Callithrix jacchus: one gene and its partners. The protein of the gene in region 1 purifies or fractionates together with the protein of each later gene. This does not show direct contact. Links are inferred from orthologs where the notes say so. Each region holds a gene or a part of one and is shown in the gene's direction. Other genes may lie near its edges.

Evidence for each region. The genes of interacting proteins can lie anywhere in the genome.
Region 2: the proteins of BCL10 (region 1) and BIRC2 purify together in Homo sapiens (affinity purification with western blotting; 3 studies listed by BioGRID and IntAct, with this or other methods). This does not show direct contact. The link is inferred for Callithrix jacchus from reciprocal best matches to the Homo sapiens genes BCL10 and BIRC2.
Region 3: the proteins of BCL10 (region 1) and CSNK1A1 purify together in Homo sapiens (affinity purification with western blotting; 4 studies listed by BioGRID and IntAct, with this or other methods). This does not show direct contact. The link is inferred for Callithrix jacchus from reciprocal best matches to the Homo sapiens genes BCL10 and CSNK1A1.

The regions. Positions count from the first base shown.
Region 1 is NC_133508.1:122,507,350-122,517,193, reverse strand, and holds the start of BCL10 (B-cell lymphoma/leukemia 10), read left to right. Parts: upstream 1-4,250; 5' UTR 4,251-4,316; coding exon 4,317-4,373; intron 4,374-8,165; coding exon 8,166-8,454; intron 8,455-9,844. UniProt on the Homo sapiens protein: Plays a key role in both adaptive and innate immune signaling by bridging CARD domain-containing proteins to immune activation.
Region 2 is NC_133511.1:2,387,522-2,397,500, forward strand, and holds the start of BIRC2 (baculoviral IAP repeat-containing protein 2), read left to right. Parts: upstream 1-3,897; 5' UTR 3,898-4,057; intron 4,058-4,374; exon of another isoform or gene 4,375-4,426; 5' UTR 4,427-4,545; intron 4,546-5,216; exon of another isoform or gene 5,217-5,239; 5' UTR 5,240-5,344; intron 5,345-5,387; exon of another isoform or gene 5,388-5,518; intron 5,519-5,620; 5' UTR 5,621-6,883; coding exon 6,884-7,778; intron 7,779-7,877; coding exon 7,878-7,977; intron 7,978-9,979. UniProt on the Homo sapiens protein: Multi-functional protein which regulates not only caspases and apoptosis, but also modulates inflammatory signaling and immunity, mitogenic kinase signaling, and cell proliferation, as well as cell invasion and metastasis.
Region 3 is NC_133503.1:48,236,438-48,246,296, reverse strand, and holds the start of CSNK1A1 (casein kinase I), read left to right. Parts: upstream 1-3,777; 5' UTR 3,778-4,285; coding exon 4,286-4,408; intron 4,409-5,058; coding exon 5,059-5,165; intron 5,166-9,859.

The DNA.
Region 1 (9,844 bases):
CAGGAATTTGAGGCTGCTCTGAGCCATGATTATGCCATTGTACTTCAGCCTGGGTGACAGAGAAAGACCCTGTCTCAAAAGAAAAAAAAAATTGTCTTTGCAAATGTAATCAAATGAAGATAAGGTCATATTGAATTAGGATGGATCCTAAATCCAGTGACTAGTGGCCTTAAAAAGAAGGAAATGTGGACACAGAAACACAGAAGAAGAAGCTCATGTGAAGATGGAGGCTGGGGTGGGAGTGATGGTGCCACAAGCCGAGGAATGCCAAGGATTGCCAGAAGCCCCAGAAGAAAGAAAGAGGCAAGAAAAGAGTCCTCCCTTACAGCTTTAGAGAAAGCGTGGCCCTGCCAACTTTGGACTTCTAGCCTCCAGAACTGCAAGAGAATAAATATCTGCTGGTTTTGGTAATTTGGTATGATGGCCTTAGGAAGTGAATAGACTGTCAGATGTCAGACACCCTCATGCTTAATGACTCTCATCCACACCATGATGCTATGTGGCTCATGCTTGTAACACCTAAACTGCATCCTGCACAGCACATTTCTCAGTAGAAGGCACTACTACTCTTCTATTTCACAGTAGGAGGCACTAGAAGTTGAGGGGGGATGGAGGCTGTTTTTAGGGATGAGGAAGAGGTAGGATTATTGCAAGGTAGTGGATGGGTGGGGCTGTTTTTCTGAAACTATGCCCAAGCTTCATTGTTAGCCAGACCCTGTGAGTTAGCAGAAAGAGGAAAATTAGTTTAGTAATGAAAGAATTGTGATGCACTAGAAAGCAAGAAGGATTGGAAGTTGCAAAGCCTGCCACAAACGAGCTCTGTGATTAGGCACATGGTATTCAGATGTGGCCGCTTAAGTTAGGCAATTCATCTTGGGAACGTTGACACATAGCCTGAAAAGCAAAATATTACTCTTTCTGCAATTAAAAAAAAACTCCTGGAATCCTCATTCATTCCCACCCAATTCCTGCCCCTTACTCTATAACTCCCAATTCTAACACAGAGCAGAAAGTTAACTTTTTAGTTGACCAAATAAATAAGGGAATGAATACTGAGGACAGAAAAGGGTTGGCGGTATCAGAAATGAAATGATGTGAGTCAAGGAAAGAGAAAGACTCAGATGTATCGTAAGGGCATGAAAGAATGTTCAAGAATCAAAGATGTCTGCCACTAACATTTGGTAATCCAAAGCCATAACAGAAGCAAATGTGACAATATATTGATATCTGTTCAATCTTGGTAGTGAGCATAGGGTGTTTGTAATATTCTTTATAGTTTGGTGGGTTCAAAATGTTTCCTTTAAAAAAGAACAAAAGTGCAGTAGCAACCTCCAAATAGCCCGATCAAAGTGAGTGGTTAAATTGGCAGCATTCAGTTCACTTGCTTTGATGGGAGAACCCCTCCTTCATCAGCAGAACTGATTTCCCACACACGGATAGACCAATACAACCCTTTTGGAAAGCACCTGCAAAAATATATATGAAAAGCCATAAAATATTCATTTCCTTGGGCTTTGTACTCCTACTCCTGGGAATTTATGCAGGCAATGATAATTTGAAGGGAAAAACGGTGAAAATATGTAAAGTCTGTGACAATTTTTTAATAACAATGAACACTCCGAACGATTTAAGGTTTCAGTGGGGAGTGCTCACCACTGCCCCAACCCTGGTCCCGCCACCCTAAGCTGTGCCTGGATGGCTGTGTATAAGGAACAGAGCTGTGCTTTGGTCAAGGATAAGCCGAAGTAAACATCCAAAGGCACTCAGCAAGTTTAGAGCACAGGCGTAAAACTCCACTCGTTATCACAGCCATGTAGCCATGACATGGGAAGGTAATCCCTTGGCTCTAAGCCACTATTGTCTGTAAAAGATATAATTGCCCTGTTGACACTGTGCAGGCACACTGGTGCCCAGAGAGAGAGAGAGAGAGGGAGAGCCAGAGCTGTCTGTCTTGCAGACGAACAGTGGGGAGCCAGGACAAAGCTCGGCTTGCTTGTGCCCAGACAGAGTAAGAGTATAGCTGCTGACCCTGAAGGCAAAGCCCACCACACACCTGTGTGGGGGTGCCGCTGGACTAAGCAGCTGAGACAGGGCAGACAGTATAGACAACTAGTGTAAGAAAGCTGTTGATGAGAGTTGCTGCTGAATAAAATCTTTCACCTGTCTATGGTCCTCCCGGGTGTTTCTTCTATTCATCCACCCACTCCCCTTGGACCTCAGCAATGGGCTGGAACCTGACCCCAAGCATGACATTCGAGGAAGTGGTGACCCTGACACTGTGGTAGTCTCCACCTGGTGTCTGCTTCTGCCCTTGCCCCTGCCTTCTACTCTCCACTCAGCAGCCAGAGTGATCCTTTCAAAATGAAATCAAACTGCTTCCTTGCTTCTCTTCAAAATGCTCCCATCACCCTCACTGCTCCACCCTGGTCTGAACCACCACCTCCTGGGGCCTGAATATAGCAATAGCTCCCTAACTGGTTTTCCCTCTTCCACCTTCTCTTCCCTTAGCACAAAAGTGAAAGTATTTCTTTTCAAATCACAAATCGGATCAGGTCACTCAGCTCACAACCCTCCAGTGGCTTCCCGTCTGACTCAGCACACCCATATGACTCAGCACACAAGTTCATCTCCTTCTAGGCACACTGAGCCTTTTTGTTGGTTGCCGGCTGTACTCATAATGCTCTCTCCTTATATCCACACGAATCACTCCCTCACTTCCTTTAAGCATAAATCAAATCCCTTATCTCAGTATTGACAAGCCGAGAGCAGACTCCTCCAAAGTGAGCAGTGCAGTCATCGACCACGTTAGTTTAAATGTTGCCAACCCACACAGCCTCATCCTACTTCCCTGTTTTATTTTTTCCTCTTAGCGTTTATCATCTTCTAATATATTAAATAACTTATATATAGCTGGTCATGGGGGCTCGTGCCTGTAATACCAGCACTTTGGGAGGCCAAGGCCTGGAGGTGGGAGGCCTGACAGATCACCTGAGGCCAGGAGTTCCAGACCAGTCTCACCAAAGTGGTGAAATCCCGTTTCTACTAAAAGTACAAAAATTAGCCAGGCATGGTGGCACGCACCTGTAGTACCAGCTACTCGGGAAGCTGAAGCAGGAGAATTGCTCGAACCCAGTGAGCAGAGATCGCGCCATTGTGCTCCATCCAGCCTGAGACAGAACGAGACTCCATCTCAAAAGAATAAATAAATAAATTCATTAATTTAAAAAACTTAGATATAGCTGGGTGTGGTGGCACGCGCCTATAATCCCAGCTACTCGGGAGGCTGAGGCAGGAGAATCACTTGAACCCGGGAGGCAGAGGTTGTAGTGAGTGGAGATCATGACACTACATTCCAGCCTGCGTGACAGAGTGAGATTGTATCTCCAAATAAATAAATAAACTTAGATAAAAATTTTCAAGTGTCTACCTCGTCTGCCCCAAACACACATAGGCTAGAATATAAATTCCATGAAGAAAGGGATTATCAGTTTTATACACAGCGGTTTTCCTAGCACCTAGAACAGTGTCTGGCACATAGTGGACAATCAAAAAACATTTTTTTCTTTTCTTTCGAAAATTTTTTTTCTTCAAAAATTTCTTCAGTATTTTAGTTACGCTGTTTGTGTGTATGCATGTGTACGTGTGTGTGAGTGCGTTTGTATATGCCCAAAACAGTAACTGACAAACATAGCATCAGGAAATTGTAGGGCAGGATCTGGGAAAAGGGGAGGAACCCGAAGGTACGGACAAGCCTATACCGGACTCCCCCGAAGTGAGCAAGCAGCAAAGGCTGACAATGCCAGCTGCCTGGGCACTGACGGATCCCACCCACGGAAACGTTACCTTATGGGGAAGCTAACCCGGGCCACTCGCCGACGACCTGCGCAGGCGTGGCTTGAGAAGCGGCCCCGCTGTGGGCGGAGCCACCGGAAAGGCTCCGGTGGGGGGCGGGAACGGGAGCGGCCAGCGGGGTGCCGCCGATAGGCTGCCGCAGTGGCAGGGTGGGCTCTGCCGAGGAACCCGCCTCGCCCGGGGGCGGTGCCTGCACCTTAAGCCTCTGGGAGAGGGAAGGAGCGCTCCTCCTAGCTCCGCGTCGCGACGTCTAGATTTGCGACGCCGTCGACCCCAGGGGCGGGGCCGGAAGCGCTACGGTTTGACCCCCAGCTCTGTTCCCGAAGGGGCGGCAGTCTTTCTCCCTATCCGCTCCGCCTCCTCGCCTTCTCTCCCATTACCCGGAGGCCGAAGCTCTCAGTCAGGGCGGGGCGGCGGAGCGCGAGCTCCTAGACCCGGAAGAAGCGCCATCTCCAGCCTCCACCATGGAGCCCACCGCGCCGTCCCTTACCGAGGAGGACCTCACTGAAGTGAAGAAGGACGTGAGTAGCGACATTCTGCCCAGGGCAGGAGGGGGCGGGCTGCAGTCCAGCGGGCGAGGGAAGCGGAAACCTGGAGTCCGAGGACAAGGAGGATCCTCCAGGTCGGAGGAGCGGAAGGTCCCAGCACGGGAGGAATGCGGCGAGCCCTGCATCCGAGGGACCTGGGTAGCAGTGACCTGTTAATCTAGGTTTTACGTCGATAAACGCAGAGCTTGGGCTTTGGGAACCTTGCCCAGCGGAGCTTTGCTTCTTGCCCACTCCTCTCCCATCCCCGCATGCTTTTCCCCCACTGCGTTCTTGGAGATGCTTCTTTAGGGACTGGCGGCTCAGATTCATCCTTGAGTCTGGCCGCCTAGGCTACTATATCAGCCTAGAGCAAAGGTTGTACCAGATGAAGGATCCCGAGCAGTGGACCAAAAATGTGAAGCTCTTTTGCATAGGGGGCTGGAGGAAGCTCAACAGCTGAAAGCACAACCCGGAATTCCCCTAGTTAGCAGACACCCACATATTTAAATTGGGGTTGGGGGAGTGAATACACGTAGCTGAGAATTATCCTACAGGTAAACGTCGAAAATATTCAGTAGCTAAATTATGCTCTTCTCGGATGGTGCAGAACTACATAAACCTTCATATTGATTTGTATCGCATGGCTTTGTTGAGATATGACATTCTTTTGTGTTTAGTTACTTGTTTTGCCAGATGAGACCTATATGAGTTTCACTAAAACACTTTATATAAATTCAAATTAAAAACAAACTGAACATGAAACGTGTTCTTATTGAGCATTGCGGTACTTTTACACAGTCATTTTGGTGAACTGGACAGGATGGCAACTTTTTAAATGTTCATCCACTTCAAATCCCTTCCTCTTCCCTGTAAGGTTTATTACACTGTACTCACAATTGGTGTGACTCACCAGCAGAAGGAAACTGGATATGACTGGGACTTGTGCTTAGTTTCCTCATTCAACAGAGATTTATGGAGCACTTACTATATGGAAAGCACTGACCTTGGGTCTGGAAGGATACAAAAAATGAAGATCAGTTTCCTGCTTTATATTCTAGTTGAGATAAGAATGGCATATAAATAAACTACTGTAGAATAAATGTTGGCTTATTCATAGTGAGTACCAGTAAAACCTTGAACTTCCAGGAGCTAGGCCTCCTATGTTCCACATTCTGTGTCACAGTTTACAATGTTCCCACTTAACCTTCACAACAACCTCTAAAGAAGATAATTGCCATTCACATTTTACAGCTAATAAAACAGGAACTGAGAAATTACAAGTGGAAGGAAATAAGACCTGTATACAAATACAGTTGTAAAGACTGGCTTCCAGGTCTTTGTTTTTCTGTCAGTTCATTGATGTTATCCATCTTCAGGATTTCATTTTATGCTTATATCAGAATTGCATAACCTTGAAATGATGGATGGATTTCAAAAGGTCTATGAAAAAAACTATGTGCATGCTTTCTTCTTAGAGATTTTTTTCATGATATTTTCAAAATGTTTTCTGATCTTAGAAAGTTTTAAAATTATCATCAAAATATTTGGACCTCTCTCTCTACTCTTGGTCCTTATTTCCAAATGTCTACTGGAAATCTACTTTTATATCCTACAGATTGCTCACCTTGACAAAAATTGAACGTTTTATCATCCTTCCCCCTCAGTTGCTTGCTGTTGCTGCTGTATTGTCTGTCTCGATGAATGGTGTGCTACCACTCTTCGTCTTGGGACCGCTCACTTCTTTAGTGTCTCTTGCTGTCTGGTTATTTGCCTCATCGTGTTGGTTGGATTTAGTCCAATTTAATAAATATGGATTACATGCTACTGTGAGGCTGATACTGTGGTTGGTTCTACAATTTAAAAAATTAAAAACTAAGACAATCCTAACTTGAAAAGAGTTCAGTTTCTTGAGGGGGATCATTTTAAATCCCAAAAATAAGTGCAGTGAGTTTTGCATTCATCTGAAGCATTATCTACTTGGTGCTCTGGGTTAAGTACAGGATAGACAGTGTTGCTTAAAACATACCTCTTTGCTGCCTGCTTCAAACAGAGATGTTAGAGTTGAAAACAAATAAATGTATTTTTACATTTATTTGTTTTCATTATATAAATGAAAACAAAATAGATTTATTTGTTTTCATTATGGCGGTTATTATGAGGGAATCAAACAGTGCCAAGACAGTAATAGGGGAAATCGACTTGAGATAGGATGGTCAGGAGAGGTCACATTTAAACTGATTCCTGAAGAATTTGACAGAACTGAGGGAAGAGCGTTCTAGGCAGCATAGAATTTGCCAAGGACCTAAAACAATCAAGACCTTGGTGACTTGGAGAAATCGGAGGAAGGCAGAGAGGATAATCTGAAATGCAGTTAGGAAGGTGGGCTAGAGCCATTTTCATGAAGAGCTTTTTAGTAAAGTGTTTGGGTTTCTTTTCCCCAAAGTATAGTAGGGACTCGTTGAAGAATTGTATTTTTTAAATTCCCTCTGCCTGTTTCATGGACTGAGGAGAGCAAGAATAAGAGCAGGGAAACCATTGAGCAGGCTCCTGGAATCTATGTGGATGAAAGATGATGGTGATTTGGATCAGGGTGAAGGCAGTGGAGATGGATGAGCCAGGAGAATTCCAGATGCATTTTTGAAATAGATAAGATAGGACATGGTGATGGACTGGACGTGAGAAATGGGGAAGAGGATGTTTAAAAGTGAAGTGTTAGCTTGAAAATAGGGTAAAAAAAAAAAAAAGAAAGTGTTTATTCACACAGGAACCGATCACCTAGCCTACTTTCCCGCCATCATATTCTAGGATATTTCTAAGACCTTCCATTACCTTTGTCATCATCACTAGCATATATTGATCCCTTACTCTGTACCAAGCACTTTTTTAAGCACTTTGCATATATTAATTTATTCATTCCTCATATAACAGTCAGCTGAAGAAACAAGTACAGAAAAGTTAATTACTTGCCCAAGATCCTGTGTCTAGTAAATAGAGGAATTAAAGTATAATCATTGGTATCAAATTATTAATGCCATTTATTGAGATCAACGTGGATTTTCTACTAATCAAGCTGTCAGGTACTTCTCAAGTCTAGGTTTGCTTTTTTGGTGTCCTTTTTCTTTATTTCTTCCATTTTTTCCAACAGTCACTATTCCTTTAGGTTTCTCTCCCCACACATCTTTCCATCTCCGTTCCTCCAAGACTGATTCACTGAGTTAGAGTGTAGTCTTTCCAGCTGACCCCAAAGACAGATACGTTATGGGCCCTTTCCATTTAGGGATTTGTTTTTGTTTTTAACAGTTTTACTCTAAGGAAATAGAGTAATTAATGACAAACATGAGAAAGTTACAGACTGTGAAGCCTCTCACTTCTAAGTTATTGGTCCTAAGTTATTAGGACTAAGTTATTGGTCCTAATTCTGGATTCCTTGCTAACTGATAAGTAAAATGTACAGTAGTCTTTGCCCTCATCTTTACCTCCAAAGATGGCCCTCCACAGACCTCCCTGTTTCCGAGGACCCAGGCCCTCAAGATTCAGCTGGTCCCTCCTCACAACAGCCTGCTCTTGGGTTTTAGGTTTGAAGGTGAGATAAGAGCAGTGAGGAATGTCTAGGACCTACTTGTGTCTATTTGGATTTTCATTTTATTTAGCACGCATTTTACAAGGCCTGAGCCTCCTCACTTTAGAATTTTCTCTCACACCAGTTAAGATTCCCAGCTAATGCACACCTATGTGATTTTCTTAGATGTTACAGAACAACATTGAACCATATTTTGTGTCTTTTAGGCCTTAGAAAATTTACGTGTATACCTGTGTGAGAAAATCATAGCCGAGAGACATTTTGATCATCTGCGTGCAAAAAAAATACTCAGTAGAGAAGACACTGAAGAAATTTCTTGTCGAACATCAAGTAGAAAACGGGCTGGAAAATTGTTAGACTACCTACAGGAAAACCCAAAAGGTCTAGACACCCTTGTTGAATCTATTCGGCGAGAAAAAACACAGAACTTCCTGATACAGAAGATTACAGATGAAGTGCTGAAACTTAGAAATCTAAAACTAGAACATCTGAAAGGTAAGATATCTTAGGTATCTAAGAGTTAATTTAAATATAATGATGCTTTTAAAAAATGCAAAGCAGGCCAGGTATCTGCACTTTAGGAGGCTGAGGCAAGAAGATTGCTTGAGGTCAGGAGTTTGAGACTGGCATGGGCAACATAGCGAGACTTTGTCTCTACAAAAAATTTAAAAATTAGCCAGGCATGGTGGTGCATACCTGTGTTTCCAGCTACTCAGGAGGCTGAGATGGGAGAAGCCCTTGAGCCTGGGACACTGAGGCTGCAGTGAGCCATGACTGTGCTACTGTGTTCCAGTCTAGGCAACAGAGCAAGACCCTATCTCAGAAAAAGCAAAACAAACCAGAAATGATCATTTTGCTTTCAAAAAGTTTAAACTTCAAAATTATATTCAATTTGTATTTATTTTCCCTTATATGACATTACATTGAAAAGTGGAATATCACTCAACATCCTGTATTTATATTTATTTAATACCATTTATAGAAAACTATTATGAAATCCCTGTATACGTAAGCGTTTGTTTCTAAAGTCAACAGAACGTAAAATTAATCTATTCCAGAGTAACCTCTGAAAATACTGTACATAACACATAAAGAACAATATTTTGGCAAAGTATTTTAAAAGTCTAACTCTGCTAGTTTTTCTCCCACCAGTTGATCACAAGATGAAATAATCGGCATATGTTTATAAGAATCAGGTTGCATAAAAGATTCATGACTTTAAATACTAGTCTGGCAAGATGTGAAAGCATGGAAACAGATGAAAGAAATAGCAAATTCACCTGTCCCATTTTACCCTCACTCCAGAATGTACACTCACTGACTGGAATGTTGTGTAGAATTGCCTGCACAGTTTAAATCCCCAACCCCCTACCGCCTCTGTTTCTGTCTGTCTCTCTCCAGAGCACATAAATGTGCATGTGATGTTCTACAGCTGTTCTAGGCATTAGGGATACAGAAATGAATAATTTAGGGCTCTGCCCTTAAGGAACTCGTCTTCTTTAAGTCCTTGCTCGGACACATTCCAAGTTTTCCCTTTGAGTCATAGCTAAGAAAGTAGTTTCTATAGCATGGGATAGACATGCTAACTGTATTGTGAGATTGAAAAACTAGTGGAAAAAGTGATGTATAAATGTACTTTATGCAGGTTTTACCTAAAAATTGTCAACTCAGGGTTTCTGTTCCTGTAGGTTGAATATTTGCTAAGAAGGGTAAATTGTATTTGAATTTATTCTTTCAATCATCTGGATGATAGTTAGCTATACCCTTTGGATATGATAAAATTCTTTGATGGATCTAAGTTGTTTTCTGCTGTAGCAGTACCTGAGACAGGGTAACTTATAAAGAAAAGAAATTTATTCATTTCTTAGAGTTCTGGAGGCTGGTT
Region 2 (9,979 bases), on another chromosome or scaffold:
AGTCAACCTATAATAGAAATAAATCAACCAGGTGAGATGGATCATTCCTGTAATCCCAGCACTTTGGGAGGCTGAGGCAGGCAGATCACCTGAGGTTAGAAATTGGAGCCTAGCCTGGCCAACATGGTGAAAACTCTCTACTAAAAATACAAAAAAATTAGCTGGGTGTGATGGCACATGCCTATTATTCCAGCTACCTGGTAGGCTGAGGCAGAAGAATCACTTGAACCCGGGAGGTGGAGGTTGCAATGTGTGGAGAACATGCCACTGGACAGCCTGGGTGACAGAGTGAGACTCTGCATGAAAGAAAGAAAAAGAAAGAAATCAACAGGCACGGTGGTTCACACCCATACTCCCACCACTTTGAGAGGTGGAGGCAGGACAATCGCTAGAACCCACGAGGTGGAGATTGCAGTGTGTGGAGACCGTGCTACTGCACTACAGCCTGGGTGACAGAGACTCTGAAAAAAAGAAAGAGAGAAAGAGAGAGAGAGTTGAAGGAGAGCAGGAGGGAGGAAGAGAAGGAGGGAAGGAAATCAACCAGGTGCGGTGGCTCACACCTGTATTCCTAGCACTTTGGGAGGCCTAAGTGGGCAGATCACCTGAGGTCAAGAGTTGGAGACAAGCCTGGCCAAAATGGTGAAACCCTGTCTCTACAAACAAACATACAAAAATTAGCCAGGCATGGTAGTGGGCTCTTTGTAATCCCACCTACTCAGGAGGCTGAGGCAGGAGAATCTCTTGAACCTAGGAGGTGGAGGTTGCAGTGAGCCAAGATTGTGCCACTGCACTCCAGTCTGGGTGACAGAGTGAGACTCTGTCTCAAAAAAAAAAAAAAAAGGAAAGAAAGAAAGAAACATATGAAGAAAATGAAATTTTTAAATTGAAAAGAAGAAAACTACCTGTATTTGCAGACCATATGATTGTCTATGCAGAAAATCCAGAAGAATATACTGATAAATTATTGGGACTAGTAGCAGAATTTGCAAGGTTTTCTAATTCAAGATCAACTTAGAAAAAAACTATTAGCATTCCTGTACATCCGAAATAACCACTTAGAAACCGTAATAGAAAAAGACATCCTATTCACAATAGCAACAAAACCCTGAGAATATATCTAGCAAAATGTACACAGACCTTTCACGAAGAGTATTGCTATAGCCAGAATGTGTCTCCAAAAATTCCTGTTTAAAACTTAATTGCCAGAATGATAGTATTAAGTGGGGGCCTTTAAGAAGTAAGTCATTAGGGTGAGCCCTCATGCATGAGATTAGTGCCTTATAAAGGGCTTGAGGTGATGGTACATCTGTTCTTTCTGCCTCATGATAACATAGCATTTGTCTGCCCCAGAGGAATCAGCATTCAAGATACCATCTTGGAAGCAGACACCAGGCCCTCACCAGACACTGTACCTTCTGGAGCCTTGATCTTCTTCTTCCCTCCCTTCAGAACTGAGAGAATAACTTCTGTTGTTTGTAAATTACCCAGTCTCGGGTGTTTTGCACTAGAAAAAGACTAAGACAAATATAAAAATTACTCATTGACTTAAAGGAAGAGCAGAAATATAAGCCATATATATTATGAATGGTAGGACTCGATGCTATAAACCTATAATTTCTCACTGAATTAATCTATAAATTCAAGCAATTCCCAGACAAATCCCAATAGAGCTGTTTTTGGAACTTGACAGGCTGATCTGAAAATTCATGTAGTCATTGAGGGGCCAAGATTAGTGTAGCTGACCTGGCGCGGTGGCTCACACCTGTAATCTGAGCACTTTGGAAGGCCGAGGTGGGTGATCACCTGAGGTCAGCGGTTTGAGACCAGCCTGGCCAGTGTAGTGAAATCTCATCTCTACAAAAAATACAAAAATTAGCTGGGCGTGGTGGCATTTGCCTGTAGTCCCAGCTACCTGAAAGGCTGAGCCAGGAGAACTGCTCAAACCCAGTAGGTGGAGGGGATAGGGAGCCAAGATAGAGCCATTGCATTCCAGCCTGGGTGACAGAGTGAGACTTCGTCGGTGCAAGACTGTTTCAATTACCATGGTTTTATTATAATTCATTACCTGTTAGGACAAGACCTTCCAATCTTACTTTTCTTCTTCAAAATTGTTTTAAATACTGTAAATATTTTTTTATACATAAATACAAAAAACGTTAGCACGGCAACTTTAGCAGACATCTATAGCTTATTTAAAAAAATTAACAGCAACTCTATACTAGCAAAATGAAAAACAAATTAACTGAATAAATGAGTAACTGAATTAAATAACACTAGGCTACAAAGTTATACAAGATTAAAAGTTATGAAGTACTATTTATTATACCTAAACGATATTACTTTTTTGGAAAAATTATCTAAGGCTTTTGCTTTTTTGAAATGCAAGCTTTCCCCTATACTTAAGTATATTCATTATCTTACTGTTTTGGTCAGGACAAGAACTGAAAAAGAGAAATAATCTTGAGTTCAGAATGAACAATTCTTGTTATATGTATTTTCCCACATGTTAGGAATGTTCTGTAACTTTCCGAGAAATAGTGACTTCAACTAAATACTAAACTACTACCAAGCCCCAGCTGTATTTTTGGATGTGTTTAGTCATTGGGAGCCATGGCATTTCTTTTTTCTGTATTACGAACTGTTACACTCACTTACTCTGACTGTTAACATTGGAACAGAAGACCTCCTGTTCTGTGACTGATTGGCAGGCAGAAATGACACGGACAGGAAATGGGAAATGGTTCAGGGTCTCGGAATTCCCCCGGCTGCCTAATTAAGTGGCTTGCTATTTGGAAGTTTTTAAAATGTTTGTCCCTTGGAGTTCCCCAGAGAGAAGCAAGCATCAGATTCAATGGGCAAAGAGCGTCAACTTCAAAAGTCTTTGGCTGTCATACCAAAAACATTTACTGCATGCCATTGTGTCTATGGCACCACTGAGGGAGCATGGAGGTGGACACAAACGGTCCATGACTAGTAAAAGCCAAGGGTTTTTATCTACAAATTTTCTATTACCTAAGCATTAAAAAAAAATTGGGCTCCTCTATGGTTTATGTACAATTATATGTGCGTGTACACCAACATACAGGCAGGAGTATGTCTTTCATTTTACTGAAACTCAGAAAACACCGGAGCGTGAAGCCTGGCTTGCAATACAGTTCCCGTCGCTAGCAAGGAGCATCTGAAATACCGACACTTTTCCTCAGAGCGTGATTTCAGTATGCACTGCTGGTCTCCAGAACCGAAAACCAAAAGTTTAAAAACAAGATACTCTAGTTGATCATAAAACAATTGTTAAGTCTTCACAATTATTCATCGGATGCTTCCTACTTTCCAACGCTTCGCTGTTTTCGATTTGCACAGCCAACCGTTGGACATCGATGCTACACAGTTACGATTGTTTACTTAAGCAAAATATGCCACCAGACCGACTCCATCGTCAAAATCCAGTCATCTCGACGACGAGGGAAGGCATCACACTGGGGGGGGGGCCTTGCCAGGGCCAGGCCACAGCCCTGAGATGACACATGGTAGGACGCGCAAAACCACCGGCGCCAGGGTGTTTCCGCAGATTCAAACGCAGCGGCTCACGTTCTGCCACGTCCCCCAGGAGAATGGTGGCCACAGAGAGAAAGGAAATGTGAGGGGCACACACCGCAAGGTAAATAAAACGAACAAACACCGAGTTGATTCGGATAGCCCCATTCCCCTGACAACCCAGCCGGCGACTCCCGTGGGCGCTCACTGGCGCCGGGCCTCCCTGGGCCACCCGGCGTCTTTCCCGGAGGTTTGTCTCCTCACCGCCTAACCCGCGCTGGGTTTCGCTTTCCCGCCCCGGCCTCCCGGGCGCCCTCCCGCGGAGGCTAACGCGGGTCCCCGGCCCGGCGTGCTGACGTCACCGTGCGTCGGCGTGGGCCCGGCTGGGGCGGCGGGCTTCGGGAGCGCGGGGGCTGATACGAGATGAGCTGGCCGTATCTCCTAGTAGGCGCCGCCGCTTCCCGGCTCTGAGGAGGCCTCTCGGTAGCCGCGCAGCTTCCGTGTTTGCTGCGCCCGCACTGCGGTGAGTGCTGCTCCTTCCGGGCTCGGGCGGCGCGGGACGGGTGGGGACGGGTGGGGACGCGCGGGCCCGCGGGGGCCCACTTCCCTAATGTGGTGGCTGCGGGAGGAAGGACGCGGCCTGGGGCCCGTCGGCCGAAGGTTGAGGGTCGCCGGGGGTTCTGTGCTTTCCACTCTCACCGAGGTTTTATTTGATTCGGAAGCCCCAACTTCAAGACTTGCAGTCAAAGCGATTTTTTAAATAGGACTTGTTTTCAAGCCTCCTCTGGCCGCCGCCCACTCTTCTGGCCCTGGGACCTTGACCAAGATGTTTTCTCGCAGTTTTTTTTTTGCAAGGTTTTAAACTTAGCTTTCGGCTTTCTTTTAATGGAAGACATGGAAACGAAGACATTTCGGTGGCGCCGAGATCTCAGATTTCATAGTTCCCACTGCGCTGTCACTCCGGTAGTCGCCTGCGGTGTGTTGTGAGGAACAGCTCTGGGAAAGTATTGGGTAAATCCCATAGCTTCTATTCCTTTCCTTTCCGCCCTGTCCCCTTGCCCCGCTGCAGTTTGCATAAAGAGAATGCAGCAGTGTGGTGCTCGTAGATACAAATCTTTCATTTAAAGACAGGCTATGAGACGGGGTGTAATTAAAGCCGTCACGGCAGTGGTCACCGTGCCAGGACCACTGTTTCACAGCCCATCGTGTTAGGTTTTGTTTTCGAGTTGCTTTCTGCGGTTGTTGCCTTGGAATTGTAAGGGAATGGTGGCGTTTAAGGGTTTATATTAATGAGCTCCTGTTTTACTGCAGTTTTCCTAGTCGTGCAGAGACTTGATATTTACACACTAACGTTGCTGTCTAATTACTGCTGTACTGCTGCTCACCGGGTTTAGTGGAGTGTCTGCCTGTCTTTTTAACCAACGTTCCTTTGCCTCCAGGAGAGTGCCAGAGATAACTTAGGTCAGAAAAGGAGAGGAGCGCAAGGACAAAATGTTTTTTCCTGTGAAAATGTCCATTTGCCTTCAAAATTGTACATTTTCAAGACAGTATAGTTAGTGCTCTGGGAAGTATATTGCATTTATTTATTTTAATTAAGTACTTTTTCAGTTAGAAAGTTGTAGTGACAAATTGCTGGAATTAAGATGTATAATCTTTTCTTTTATTATTATTATTTTTTTAAGACAGAGTCTTGCTCTGTTGCCAGGCGCCAGTCTGGAGTGCAGTAGCGCAATCTCGGCCCACTGCAATCTCCGCCTCCTGGGTTCAAGCAATTCTCCTGCCTCAGCCTCTCAAGTAGCTGGGACTACAGGTGCGCGCCGCCATGTCCAGCTAATTTTTGTATTTTTTACTAGAGACAGGGTTTCACCATGTTGACCAGGATGGCCCGATCTCTTCACCTTGTGATCCGCCCACCTCGGCCTCCCAAAGTGCTGGGATTACAGGCGTGAGCCACTGCGCCCCGCCAAGATGTATTATCTAAAGTGTAAATTATTCTTTCACTTCACTGAATAAATTGAAGAGTATATAAGTTCTATTTGCCATGCAAATACAGTTTTCTGAAATACCTTTTGTTTTTTCTTTTCAGATTTACAGCCCTGAAGAATCTCCCTCTCCCTATTTTTCCCCCTGCAGTAATAAATCCCATTATGAAGACCTCGAAACTTTATAAAGGGATATAGTTTGAATTCTATGGAGTGTAATTTTGTGTATGAATTGTATTTTTAAAACATTGATTTCAGAAAGAAGGCTAGTAGAGTTGATTATTGATACATTATGCTAAGCAGTACTTTTTCGGTAATAGAATATTTTGTTAGGCATTTCTGATAACACTAGAAAGGGCAGGTTACATCTTGTGACAAATTGAGTAATGTTTAATTACAACATGACTGATAATTATAGCTGAATCGTCCTTAAATGATGTACAGGTTATTTAGCTTTTAAATGCAGTGTAAAAAGTGTGCTCTGGAAATTTTACAGTTAACTAAGTTTATGGAGAAAATACCTTTAGTTAATCAAGAATAATAAAACTGTATACAAAGTTAGGCAGAAAGTCCACATGATGCTGCAGGAAATGGAAACAAATACAAATGATATTTAACTAAGATAGAAGAGTTTACAGTCTGTGAACTTTAAGCAAAGTTCATTTGACATCAAACACTGTAACTGGCACAGGTTCAGCAAAGCTTGTGGGTGTTGGCTTCCCCAAAAGTTGTCAGCTGAAGTAATATAGCCCACTTATGTAAATACTCTGATGATAAGGGGTGTGAATTTAGCCTTTAAGTAGTGTGACCATATGAAGATTTTAATTACTTTTGTTTATTGGAATAAAATGAGATTTTTGGGGGGTTGTCATATTAAAATGCATATAGGGAAAGATGCCTGCATATAATTTCTTACCTTGTGGCATAATTCAGTAATTGTCCTGTTATCCAGGCTTAATAGCTTGTAACCAAACATAAATAAAAGGCATAATTTAGGTATTCTATAGTTGCTTAAAATTTTGAGAATATAAATCTCTTTGAAAAATCAAGGAGTTTTAACATTTTCAGAAGTGCATTGACTTTTTCTGAGCTTTTCGTTAGTATTATACAGATTATGAACAAATAGCACTTAGGTTGCCTAAAAGAGTGACTATAACCCCAAAGAGTCGTGTTCTAAGTAGTATCTTGGTAATTCAGAGAGATACTCATCCTACCTGAATATAAACTGAGATAAATCCAGTCAAGAAAGTATAGTGAATTCTACATAAGAGTCTATCATTGATTTCTTTTTGTGATAAAAGGTCTTATTTAGTGTGAAGAAATTTCAAGTGAATGTTTTAGCTATCAAACAGTACTATCACCTACTCATGCACAAAACTGCCTCCCAAAGACTTTTCCCAGGTCCCTGGTACCAAAAAATTAAGAGTATAATGGAAGATAGCACGCTTTTGTCAGATTGGACAAACAGCAGCAAACAAAAAATGAAGTATGACTTTTCCTGTGAACTCTACAGAATGTCTACATATTCAACTTTCCCTGCCGGGGTTCCTGTCTCAGAAAGGAGTCTTGCTCGTGCTGGTTTTTATTATACTGGTGTGAATGACAAGGTCAAATGCTTCTGTTGTGGCCTCATGCTGGATAACTGGAAACTGGGAGATAATCCTATTGAAAAGCATAAACAGCTATATCCTAGCTGTAGCTTTATTCAGAATCTGGTTTCAGCTAGTCTGAGATCCACCACTAAGAATACGTCTCCAATGAGAAGCAATTTTGCACATTCATTATCTCCCACGTTGGAACACAGTAGCTTGTTCAGTGGTTCTTACTCCAGCCCTTCACCAAACCCTCTTAATTCTAGAGCAGTCGAAGACTTGTCTCCGTTGAGGACTAACCCTTACAGTTATGCAATGAGTACTGAAGAAGCCAGATTTCTTACCTTCCATATGTGGCCATTAACATTTTTGTCACCATCAGAATTGGCAAGAGCTGGTTTTTATTATATAGGACCTGGAGATAGGGTAGCCTGCTTTGCCTGTGGTGGGAAGCTCAGTAACTGGGAACCAAAGGATGATGCTATGTCGGAACACCGGAGACATTTTCCCAACTGTCCATTTTTGGAAAATTCTCTAGAAACGCTGAGGTTTAGCATTTCAAATCTGAGCATGCAGACACATGCAGCTCGAATGAGAACATTCATGTACTGGCCATCTAGTGTTCCAGTTCAGCCTGAGCAGCTTGCAAGTGCTGGTTTTTATTATGTGGGTAAGAAGCAAGTAACTCTACATTTTATCAGTTTATTTCAATTTACGTATTAGAACATGGGTTTTCAGTATTTGTTTGTTTGTTTGTTTTTCCCTGGAGGTCGCAACGATGATGTCAAATGCTTTTGTTGTGATGGTGGCTTGAGGTGTTGGGAATCTGGAGATGATCCATGGGTAGAACATGCCAAATGGTTTCCCAGGTAATTGTTTTGAAAAGGTATTTGTACAAAAACTCTGCTAACTAGAAGTAGGCATGCTTACGTGATAAAGTTTACCTTTAAATCATAACAAAGCCTCTTTTATGCCACTGAAGAATTACCCTTCTAAAAGACCACATTTTAACTGTAATTATTTTGTTGAAAAGTATTCTTCTGTGTACTTTTCTTTTGTAATTCAGTTACAGTTATGGCCATACATTTTATTTATTTCCCATTTTCTTTTAAAGAGTACTTAAGGATTACAAAGACTTTATATAAAATAGAACAAAAAGAAGATAAGTTAGAAAAAGGTAAGAGAAGGAAAATAGAATAGATGCAGGAATAAGGCAAATTTAAAAAATGCATTTATTAAGAGCATATCTGGGCTGGGTGCAGTGGCCCACACCTGTAATCCCATCACTTTGGGAGGCCGAGGCAGTCCTTGGATCATCAGAGGTCAGGAGTTTGAGACCAGCCTGACCAACATTGTAAAACCCTGTATCTACTAACAATACAAAAATTAGCCAGGCATGGTGGCACATGTTTGTAGTCCCAGCTACTTTGAAGGCTGTAACAAGAGAATCACTTGAACCCGGAGGCAAAGGCTGCAGTGAGCCAAGATTGTGCCACTGCACTCCAGCCTGGGTAATTTAAAAAAAAAAAAAAGGCATATCTGCCCATTTTAATTGTAATTGTAAATTTTCTATACAGTTTTTTTTTTATAATCTGTCATTTACCTCCTTTTAGACACTTTGTCTCTAGCAGTATTTTTTTATTATATTCTAGAAAGAATTTAGGGGCAGCATTATTAGTAGAAATAGAATTAGAGATTGTCTTTATAATTGAGTAGCTATGTGAACTTGGATCTCATTGGTAAAATGAGGGGTTGCCCTAGATAATTTTTTAAAATAGTGATAAAATAGGCATAGCATAACATTTACCATCTTAACCATTTTTAAGTGTATAGTTCTGTGGCATAAAATACGTTAATACAGTTGTGCAGTCACACCACTATCCATCTCCAGAACCTTTCCATCTTCCCAAACTGAAACTGTCTACCCATCAAGTACTAACTCCCCATGACCCCTTTCCCCAACATTCTGGCAACCACCATTTTATTTCTTTTCTTTTCTTTTTTGGAGACAGTCTTACTCTGTCATCCAGGCTGGAGTGCAGTGACACAATGATCTTGGCTCACTGCAACCTCCACTTGCCAGGTTCAAGTGATTCTCCTGCCTCAGCCTCCCGAGTAGCTGGGATTACAGGTGCCTGCCACCATCCCTGGCTGTTTTTTTTTGTATTTGTAGTAAAGACAAAGTTTCACCATGTAGAGTAGGCTGGTCTTGAACTTCTGACCTCAAGTGATCTGCCTGCCTCTGCCTCCAAAAGTGCTGGGATTACAAGTGTAAGCCACCACCCCCTGCCCCACCATTCTGTTTCTGTCTCTATTGGATTTGACCACTCTAGGCACCACATATAAGTGAAATCATAATACAGTATAGATTATGGTTTTACCTGTGAGTGTCTTTCACAATAATGAAGAATCTCTTGAACCCCTTGAGGAAATTAAAAAAATATTTTTGGCCGGGCACCGTGGCTCACGCCTGTAATCCCAGCACTTTGGGAGGCCAAGGCGGGTGGATCACGAGGTCAAGAGATCGAGACCATCCTGGTCAACATGGTGAAACCCTATCTCTACTAAAAATACAAAAAATTAGCTGGGCATGGTGGCGCGTGCCTATAATCCCAGCTACTCAGGAGGCTGAGGCGGGAGAATTGCCTGAACCCAGGAGGCGGAGGTTGTGGTGAGCCGAGATCGCGCCATTGCACTCCAGCCTGGGCAACAAGAGTGAAACTCTGTCTCAAAAAAAAAAAAAAAAAAAATATATATATATATATATATTATAATATATATATATATATTTGATATGTGATGAAAAAGAAACTTGAAGTAACAAATACTTTATTATCAGTACAGTACATTGTTAAAAAGTTGTGTTTTAAA
Region 3 (9,859 bases), on another chromosome or scaffold:
TTTTTTTTTGAGACGGAGTTTCACTCTTGTTACCCAGGCTGGAGGGCAAATGGCACGATCTCGACTCACCACAACCTCCACCTCCTGGGTTCAGGCAATTCTCCTGCCTCAGCCTTCTGAGTAGCTGGGATTACAGGCACACACCACCATGCCCAGCAAATTTTTTTTTGTATTTTTAGTAGAGACGGGGTTTCACCATGTCGACCAGGATGGTCTCGATCTCTTGACCTCGTGATCCACCCGCCTCGGCCTCCCAAAGTGCTGGGATTACAGGCTTGATCCACAGTGCCCGGCCCTCTTTTCTCTTTTGTTAAAGAGTCAGGGTCTCACTATGCTGCCCAGGCTGAAGTGCAGCGGCTAGTCACAGGCGCGATCTCACTACTGATCAGCACTGGAGTTTTGACCTGCTCTGTTTCCGACCTGGGCCGGTTCACCCCTTCTTAGGCAACCTAGTGGTTCCCCGCTCCTGAGAGGTCACCATATTGATGCCGAAATTAGTGTGGACACCGAATCGGCATAGTGCGCTACATCCCAGAACTCCTGGGCTTAAGCAATCCTCCAACCTCAGCCTCCCAAGTAGCTAGGACTACAGGCACATGCCACCTCACCTGGCTAATTTTTGTATTTTGGGTAGAGACGGGGTTTCAGCATGTTGGCCAGGATGGTCTCGATTTCTTGACCTCAGATGATCTGCCCACCTAGGCCTCCCAAAGTACTGGGATTACAGGCATGATCCACTGCCCCCAGCCCTATTTGGTACATTTAAAAGACTCCTTTCATTATACCAAAGCTGCTGCTGATTTAGTAAGTACAGAATGATTTGTGACTTTAGTAGCAACACCAAAAACAGGTTATTCTTCAGTCTCTTAGGATGCAAGTTCGTGCAAAAGATACATGACTTTAAGGAGAAGGCTGAGTCATAGCCAACACCTGAGGACTTTATTTTCTATGTTAAAAAAATTTTTGGGGGCCGGGTGCGGTGGCTCATGCCTGTAATCCCAGCACTTCGGGAGGCCGAGGCGTGTGGATCACGAGGTCAAGAGATCGAGACCATCCTGGTCAACATGGTGAAACCCCATCTCTACTAAAAATACAGAAAATTAGCTGGGCATGGTGGTGTGTGCCTGTAGTCCCAGCTACTCAGGAGGCTGAGGCAGGAGAATTGCCTGAACCCAGGAGGCGGAGGTTGCGGAGAGCCGAGATCACGCCATTGCACTCCAGCCTGGGTAACAAGAGCGAAACTCCGTCTCAAAAAAAAAAAAAAAAAAGAAAGAAAATTAGCAAAATAGTAGTGATCTCTGGAAAACTCAAGATGCTTAAACTTGGCTTTTTTTTTTTTGAGATGAAGTTTTGCTTTTGTTGCCCAGGGACCAGGCTGGAGTATGACGGTATGATCTCGGCTCACCACAGCCTCTGCTTCTCGGGTTCAAGCGATTCTCTTGCCTTAGCCCCCTGAGTAGCTGGGATTACAGGAATGTGCCACCACACTCAGCTAATTTTGCATTTTTAGTAGAGACAGTTTCTATATGTTGGTCAGGCTGGTCCTGAACTCCTGACCTCAGGTGATCCACCTGCCTAGGCTTCCCAAAGTGCTGGGATTACAGGTGTGAGCCACCATGTCTAGCCATATTTGGCTTTTTTTTTTTTTTAATTTTAGACCAGAGTTTAACAGCAGATTTTAACTTAGTCAAAATGTGCTTTCGAGTCACCAAAGGCAAATGATGTCTAATAGGGCTGATTTGGGAGTTGGGCACCCCAGGTGTTGGTTGTGCTTTAAAACTTCATGCTAAACCTTAGGGGAAGTCTTTTCCCCTCTCTCTTCAGTTAAGATCTCTTCCAAGATGAACCCTATTACTAATTACCTGATCAGCTTTCAAAGTTGCAGTTAAAATACTTCACATTTTTTTCCATTTGTACTTATAATTTTTTTTTTGAGACAGGGTCTCTCTGTTGCCCGGGTTGAAAGTGCAGTGGCGTGATCTACGCTCACCACAATCTCTGCCTTCCGGGTTCAAATGATTCTCAGCTTCCCGAGAAGCTGGGGTTACAAGTGTGTGCCACCACACATGGCAGATTTTTGTATTTTTAGTGGAGATGGGGTTTCACCATGTTGTCCAGCTAGTCTTGAATTCTGACCTCTGGTGATCCAAACACCTTGGCCTCCCAAAGTGCTGGGATTACAGGCGTGAGCCACCACTCCTGGCCATCAAATTTTGTAAAACAATATGTGGTCAAGATTTCATTCTCTGATCTATTTTTAGTAAAAAGAAAAAAATTACCGTGTAGTTTGTTTTGTTTTTGAGACACAGTCTTACTCTGTCACCCAGCTGGAGTGCAGAGGCATGATCTTGGCTCACTGCAACCTCCATCTCCCAGGTTCAAGCGATTCTCCTCTCTCAGCCTCCTGAGTACCTAGGACTACAGGCGCCTGCCATCACGCCCAGCTAATTTTTGTATTTTTAGTAGAGATGGGGTTTCACCATGTTGGCCAGGATAGTCTTGATCTCTTGTCCTCGTGATACCCCCGCCTCAGCCTCCCAAAGTGCTGGGATTACAGGCGTGAGCCACCGTGCCCCTGGCTACCATATGGTTTTAAATGTTGTCAATTATGTTTTGCGACAGTTACCTCTGCTATATGTTAAGGTTAATATTGAGGTTTTCCATATGACCAACATATGATTCTTTTTTTTTTTTTCGTTTTTTTGGTGGGATTGGGAGGAGGGCTAGAACAGTTTTTTCACTCTTGTTAATTTTCTGTTGATTCCACCTATTACTAATCTTCATTATGGCAAGATACCCGGTTTTCTCATGAAGATCAAATGTGGTAGTGGGGCAATAATGCAAAGACAAAGGACGGTAGGAGGATTCCGGCTTCTTTTTTCCCCTCCTGAGCAAACAGGGTCTCTAACACTCCGTAGTAGAGAACACAGTTCTATTTATGAAGGGTAATTAGCTGGGCTTTGCTACAACCGAGAGCCCTGAACGATTCGATCAGCCCGATACGCGGGCTGCTTTTCTCTTCTTCTCCACCAGAGGCGATAGCCTCTTTCCAAACAGAAACTTGGTTGCAATAGGCCGGTCGGGGGGAGCGGCCAGAAGATCAAAGATTAAAAACCGCCTGAAACAGGCCGGGCGCGGTGGCTCATACCTATAATCCCAGCACTTTGGGAGGCCGAGGCGGGTGGATCACGAGGTCAAGAGATCGAGACCATCCTGGTCAACATGGTGAAACCCTGTCTCTACTAAAAGTACAAAAAAAAAAATTGGCTGGGCATAGTGGCGTGGGCCTGTAATCCCAGCTACTCGGGAGGCTGAGGCAGGAGAATTGCTTGAACCCAGGAGGCGGAGGCTGCGGTGAGCCGAGATCGCGCCATTGCACTCCAGCCTGGGTAACAAGAGTGAAACTCCGTCTCAAAAAAAAAAAAAAAAAAACCTCCTGAAACAAAGAGCAAAGGTCAATACCAAACTCCTAAGGAGGCCTGAAGCTTTTATCTGTTAGGAAACGGGAAGGTGACTTCTCCCTGACATCGGTGCCTGAGGCCACTCAGCCTTCCAGAGACCGGGCGGGTCCGGGCGGGTCCGTGGTAACAGGTAGCACCGGCTGAACAGCCGCCAACCGGAAGTGGAAGAGAGCCTGGGGCGGGGTGAGTACCAGCCGCGGCACGCCTGCGCAGTCAGCAGGAGTTACAGTGCTCATGCGCAGCTGGGCGGTGACGAGGTGACGCTTGGAGCGTGGGCCGCGACTCTCACGGATCCGGTTCCGCCCTCCCTCTGGCTGCAGATCCTCCGGAGCGAGCGCCCGAGATCCCTTTCCCAGAGTGCTCTGCGCCGTGAAGAAGCGGCTCCCGGGGACTGGGGGCATTTTGTGTTGGCTGGAGCTGGAGTAACAAGATGGCGTCGTCGGCGGAGTGACAGGGGTCCCTCCGGGCCGGAGCCAGCAGCAGTGCTGGCAGTGGTATCGCCGCCCTAGCTCACCGCGCCCCTTTTCCTGCCCGCGACGTCGCCGCTCAAGCAGGCATCGGCCGCCAACGAGAACAAGTGGCCCAGCCTGGTAGCCGCGAGAAGCCCTTCACAAAGTGCGGCCTGGCAAAAAGAAACCTGACTGAGCGGTGGTGATCAGGTTCCCCTCGGCTGATTCTGGGCCCCGAACGCCGGTAAAGGCCTCTGTGTTCCGTTTCCTGCTGCCTTCCTCCGTAGCCTTGCCCGGTGTAGGAGCTCGAGAGGTCTCCGTCTTCCCCTCAGAGGTGTCGGGGCTTGGCCCCAGCCTCCATCTTCGTCTCTCAGGATGGCGAGCAGCAGCGGCTCCAAGGCCGAATTCATTGTCGGAGGGAAATACAAACTGGTACGGAAGATCGGGTCTGGCTCCTTCGGGGACATCTATCTGGCGATCAACATCACCAACGGCGAGGTAATCACCTGGGGTAGGGTTGACGATAACGCTGGGCATTTCCTCATTCCCCGCCCCCACCACCGCGCACCCCTAAAGTGCTTGGGCCTCTCCCCACCGCACGCACTCGTCAGGGAGTCCAGAGAGCTAGTTTTCCTGGCTTTTGAACCTCCCCCGCTCTTTCCCTAAAAGGATCAAGAACCCGATAGAAAGGTTGGGGAAGGTTCCCAGCTTGTTAAACACGTCCCATAAATGTCCCTTAGTTGAACTTTTTTTTTTTTAACCGTTTTTTAAGGTGGAAACGGCAAAATCCTATTTCTGTGATTCCCATGCTTTTATTTTATTTTATTTTTAATTCTGCTGGCCTCTTATTCCAATTAGAACAGTTTCCGATCGCCTAGTTCCTTAAAAACCTCTCATTACGTTCAGAGGTTGCCTCTTTTTTTCTGGATGAATCATTTTCCTGCACTTTAGAAGAGGTAGGGATTTCGTCACTACCCCCTGAAGAGGCTGGTTGCCTCATTTTATAATTACAGAGAGCTTTCTCTTTCCAGTCTTTCGCTTTTTCCCTGTAGTCGCGACTTGGAGTTTTGCTAATGTCTCTCCCTCCTTTCCTAAGTGACATTGAATCCGTAGGGATGTTGATGCCATCATCCCTCTTTCCCCTGCAGGAAGTGGCAGTGAAGCTAGAATCTCAGAAGGCCAGGCATCCCCAGTTGCTGTACGAGAGCAAGCTCTATAAGATTCTTCAAGGTGGGGTTGGCATCCCCCACATACGGTAAGAACCCTGTGCATATAGGCGGTCTGCTGAGGGAAGCACGGAATGGGGAAGTGGGTAGAGGCAGGTAAGGAGACCAGCTGAATCCAGGTCTTGGTGTTTCAGTTACCTGGGTTCCCTACAGCTAGTGGCTTCCTGTAAGTCAGTTATCGCAATCACTGAGTAAATTTCAGTTTGCTAACTTAGTTTAAAATTTCATTGTATTACACTGTGTCCCATTTCGCTTCCGTCATTTCTCCCTCTTCCCGAGGCTTTCATTTGCAGTAAAGTGTGCAGGTCATCTTTGATCTCTACGCGGAAGGTTTGACTGCTGCCTTTTTTACGGCGGCATGTCTGGTGTTCAGAGGTTTGCTCAGTGAAGTGGATTTGAAGGTGGCGAAGCGACAGGGCAGTGTCATTTCGGGTTGCTATTGGAGCTGGCTTGGGAAATGGCTGCTCTTTTGTTGTGTTTTTGTTCCAACATGTCTTCCTCCTCCGCTTAGAAAATGGCGGAACGACGTGACTCAACCCCATATTCCTGCCCTTTTCTCAGCTTGGGTTCACAAATTATGCTTCCTTGATACCTCCTTCAGCAGCCCCAAGTGGTTTAAACCTTTGAAAAAGTCAAGAATAAAGCTGCAGGAGCCAGTGGGGTTCCAGGAAGGACATGGCATAGTGACAATGTTTGTGATCTCGTCAGCAGATATGATACGAAATTGTTGAATTATACTATGTAAAATCCTTTGTAGTTCTTTTAAAAGTGTTAATTACTCTTTCCTTTAGTGAATGGTCATGTTTGTCACTTTTCAGTCCAAACTAAATTTGTATAGATAGTGGCAGAGGCAGTTTGAGCACCACCATGTTAAAATTTACTCAGCTCAGTTTTATTAAAAGAGAGCTTAATCACTTAGCCACACTTTGATAAGTAATTTTAACCTGTTGAGTTTATCAGTAAATTTTAACATCAGAGAAATTGTGGCCTTTTTTGGTGTGGAATATTGGTGGATACAAATAGTGGTAATGAGGATACAAGGTGACGAGATAGAAATACATTGTTCCGTCAACTCTTGAGGGTTTTAGAGTAATGTTTTGACTTTAGGGATTAAAAGAGCCTCTTCATGGAATAGAGACTAAAATGTAGTTTAAAACCCAGCTGTTTTCCAGCGATAATAAAAAAAAATTTGCAAAAATTTTCAGAATAGTTGAGAATGGTATTTACTGTTTACTGGAGCCTCTTTTTTTGTTTTGTTGTTGTTGTTTTTGTTTTGAAATGGCGTTTTTGCTCTTGCCACCTAGGTTGGAGCGCAGTCACACGATCTCTGCTCACTGCAACCTGTGCCTCCCAGGTTCAAACGATTCTTGTGCCTCAGGCTCCAGAGTAGCTGGGACTACAGGCTGGTGCCACCACGCCCAGCTAATTTTTTGTATTTTTAGTAGAGACGGGGTTTCACCATCTTAGCCAGATGGTCTCCATCTCCTGGCCTCGTGACCTGCTCTCTCGGCCTCCCAAAGTGCCGGGATTACAGGTGTGAGCCGCCACGCCTGGCCTAATTTTTGTATTTTTAGTAGAAAAGGGGTTTCACCACGTTTGTCAGGCTGGCCTGGAACTCCTGACCTCAGGTCATTTTCCCACCTCAGCCTCCGAAAATGCTGGGATTATGGGTGTGAGCCACCAATCCTGGCTTTTTTTTTTTTTTGAGAGGAGTCTTACTCTGTTGCCCAGGCTGGAGTACAGTGGCACCATCTCGACTCACTGCAACCTTCGACTCCCGGGTTCAAGCGATCCTCCTGCCTCAGCCTCCTAAGTATCTGGAATTACAGGCCTGCGCCACCATGCCCAGCTAATTTTTTGTTTGTTTAGTAGAGATGAGGTTTCACCATGTTGGCCAGGGTGGTCTCAAACTCCTGACCTCAGGTGATCTACTGGCATGGCCTCCCAAAGTGCTGGAATTATAGGCGTGAGGCACTATGCCAGGCTTGTAGCCCCTTTTCTATTTCAGGTTTTTTTTTTTTCAGATCTTGAATTAAGGACTGGATTGCATAGTGCTTACATGGAAACAACACAAATAAAACTATCCTAAAAAAAAGTTCCAAAGCTGTTAGTTTTTATTTTCTATTAAAAAAAAAATTTTTTTTTTTTTTTGAAGGGACGGGGTTTCACTGTATTGGTCAGGCTGGTCTTGAACTCCTGACCTCAGGTGATCCACCTGCCTCGGCCTCCCAAAGTGCTGGGGATTACTGGCGTGAGCCACCGCGCCGGGCCAGCTGTTAGTTTTGACGGAGAACTGAATGATAAAATTTGCTATTGGTTGTAAATGGGCAGGTAAATCACTTGGAAGAAAATTCCAAATTTATCTTTTGACGTAAAGATTAATGTGAAATCTAAGATGATACAGATTTGAGGTTTCAATTTATTTATTTTTTAAAATTTTATTTATTTATTTATTATTATTTTTTTAAAGATGGGGTTTCACCCTGATGGCCAGGCTGGTTTTGAACTCCTGACTTCAGGTGATCCACCCACCTGGGCCTCCCAAAGTGATAGGATTACAGGTGTGAGCCACTGTGCCGGGCCTGATTTGAGGTTTTTAAATGGTTCTTGTCTTTAAAAAAATCCTGTGTGGGAAAATAAGGCCCCTTACACCCACTGATTGCTTTCTGTCACTAGTTTTTCCTAGAATTTCTTACAGATGGAATCATATGGTATGAGGTCATTTGTGTCTGGCACTTTTCACTTAGCATAATGTTTTTGAGATTATTTATGTTGGGAGATTTTATAAATTTCACAAATCAGGTTAAATTTAATATATTTGAAATCATTTTCAGAAAGCATTAAGCATTGCCATTTTCACTGCTAAACCCAAGTTAAGTACATGCCCTTTTATCTGGTAGCTTTTATTTAAGACCTGATACAGACTCATAAGGGCAATGAGTAATAAACTGAATAAGCACATGAATAAATTAACTTCTGAGCTGAATAATAATAATAGGAGCCTATTATAAGGTGGTGAGTGTGAGAGAGTTATGGTAGTTTTAAGCTCTCTGTGGGTGGGGCTAAGCAGATTAACCTGGCTTTCAAATTAAGGCTTCCTGAGAGAGGAGATGGGATTTCAGGATCTGGGTCTGAGGAAGAAAGCTTGGTGAACTGGTTTGGGAAGGCATCCAAGAATAGAGTGAGGCTTCTGGGTGTAGTCTCTAAGGAGAATACAGTAACTGGATGAGGGTGTGGAAAGGGTAAATTTACTTTAGGAGTGGTAGCGTCAGGTACATGGAAACAAAAGTGGTTTGTTGGTTTTAAAGTGAAATGTGAAGAAAAACCAAAAACCTGTGTTTCCATTGAAGCAAAAAGGATAAAGATTTATATAAACATTCTTTATTTGGATAACAACATCTTCCCATCCCCTTCAGTCTGTTTGCCACTATTTCTATATCACCCATACGTGGTGCATACTTAATAAATATTTACTTGGTAAGTATTGAATTAAGTTGACTGTTTACTTTTAGCTAGATAAAAGTTAGGTATTATCCATTGTTTTAGAAGTATTGTCACTAATTTAAAATTTAAATTTTTCTGCCTTTACCCTTCATACACAAATTTGTTCAATCCCTTCCCTATGTTTTCTGTTAAAAAACTCCCTGTAGGATTTGCTTTGCTTTTTTTATTTTTAATTTTTTTGAGACAGTTTCACTCTTGTCACCCAGGCTAGAGTGCAATGGCGTAATCTCAGCTCATTGCAACCTCTGCCTCCTGGGTTCAAGTGATTCTCCTGCCTCAGCCCCCCAAGTAGCTGGAATTACAGACATGTACTACCACATCCGGCTAATTTGGTATTTTTTTAGTAGGGATGGGGTTTCTCCATGTTGGTCAGGCTGGTCTCAAACTCCCAACCTCAGGTGATCCTCCCGTCTTGGCCTCCTAAAGTGCTGGGATTACAGGCATGAGCCACTGTGCCTGGCTGATTTGCTTTGCTTTTAAGATACTTTGGTATGTCTTACAACAGAGACTAAAAATTACCTGGGCTTTATGGATGACCTGCTTAATCAGGTCCTTCCTGTGTAATTTCAGAGACCTATTGTTAAGAGGCATAGCATCCAGAGTAAAGAGCCAGGATAAGCCAGGCACAGTGGCTGATGCCTGTAATCCTAGCACTTTGGGAGGCAGAGGTGGGCAGATTGCCTGAGCTCTGGATTGTTCTGAGACCAGCCTGGGCAACACGTTGAAACCCCTTCTCTACTAAAATAAAAAAAAAAAAATTAGCCATGCATGGCTGTGTGCCTCTGTCGTCCCTCAGGAGGCTGAGGCAGGAGAATTGCTTGAATCTGGGAAGTGGAGGTTGCAGTGAGCCAAGATTGCACCACTGCACTCCAGTCTGGGTGACAGAACAAGACTCCATCTCAAAAAAAAAAGAAAAAAAAGAACAAGCATGAGAGAATGACATCCATTCTCTTGATATTTTAAAAAATGAAGTTTCTGATTCTAGGTGCTTCAGGAGCTGCGGCTTAAGGTGCCAACATGGCCAAGTCCAAGAACCACACCACACGCAACCAGTCCTGAAAATGGCACAGAAGTGGTGAACCCCAGGTTCCTGAGGAACATACACTTTGCCAAAGAAGCACAACAAGAAGGGCCTAAAGAAGATACAGGGCAACAATTTCAAGGCCGTGATTGCACGTGCTGAGGCTTTTCAGGCCTTCGTAAAGCCCAAGGAGGTTAA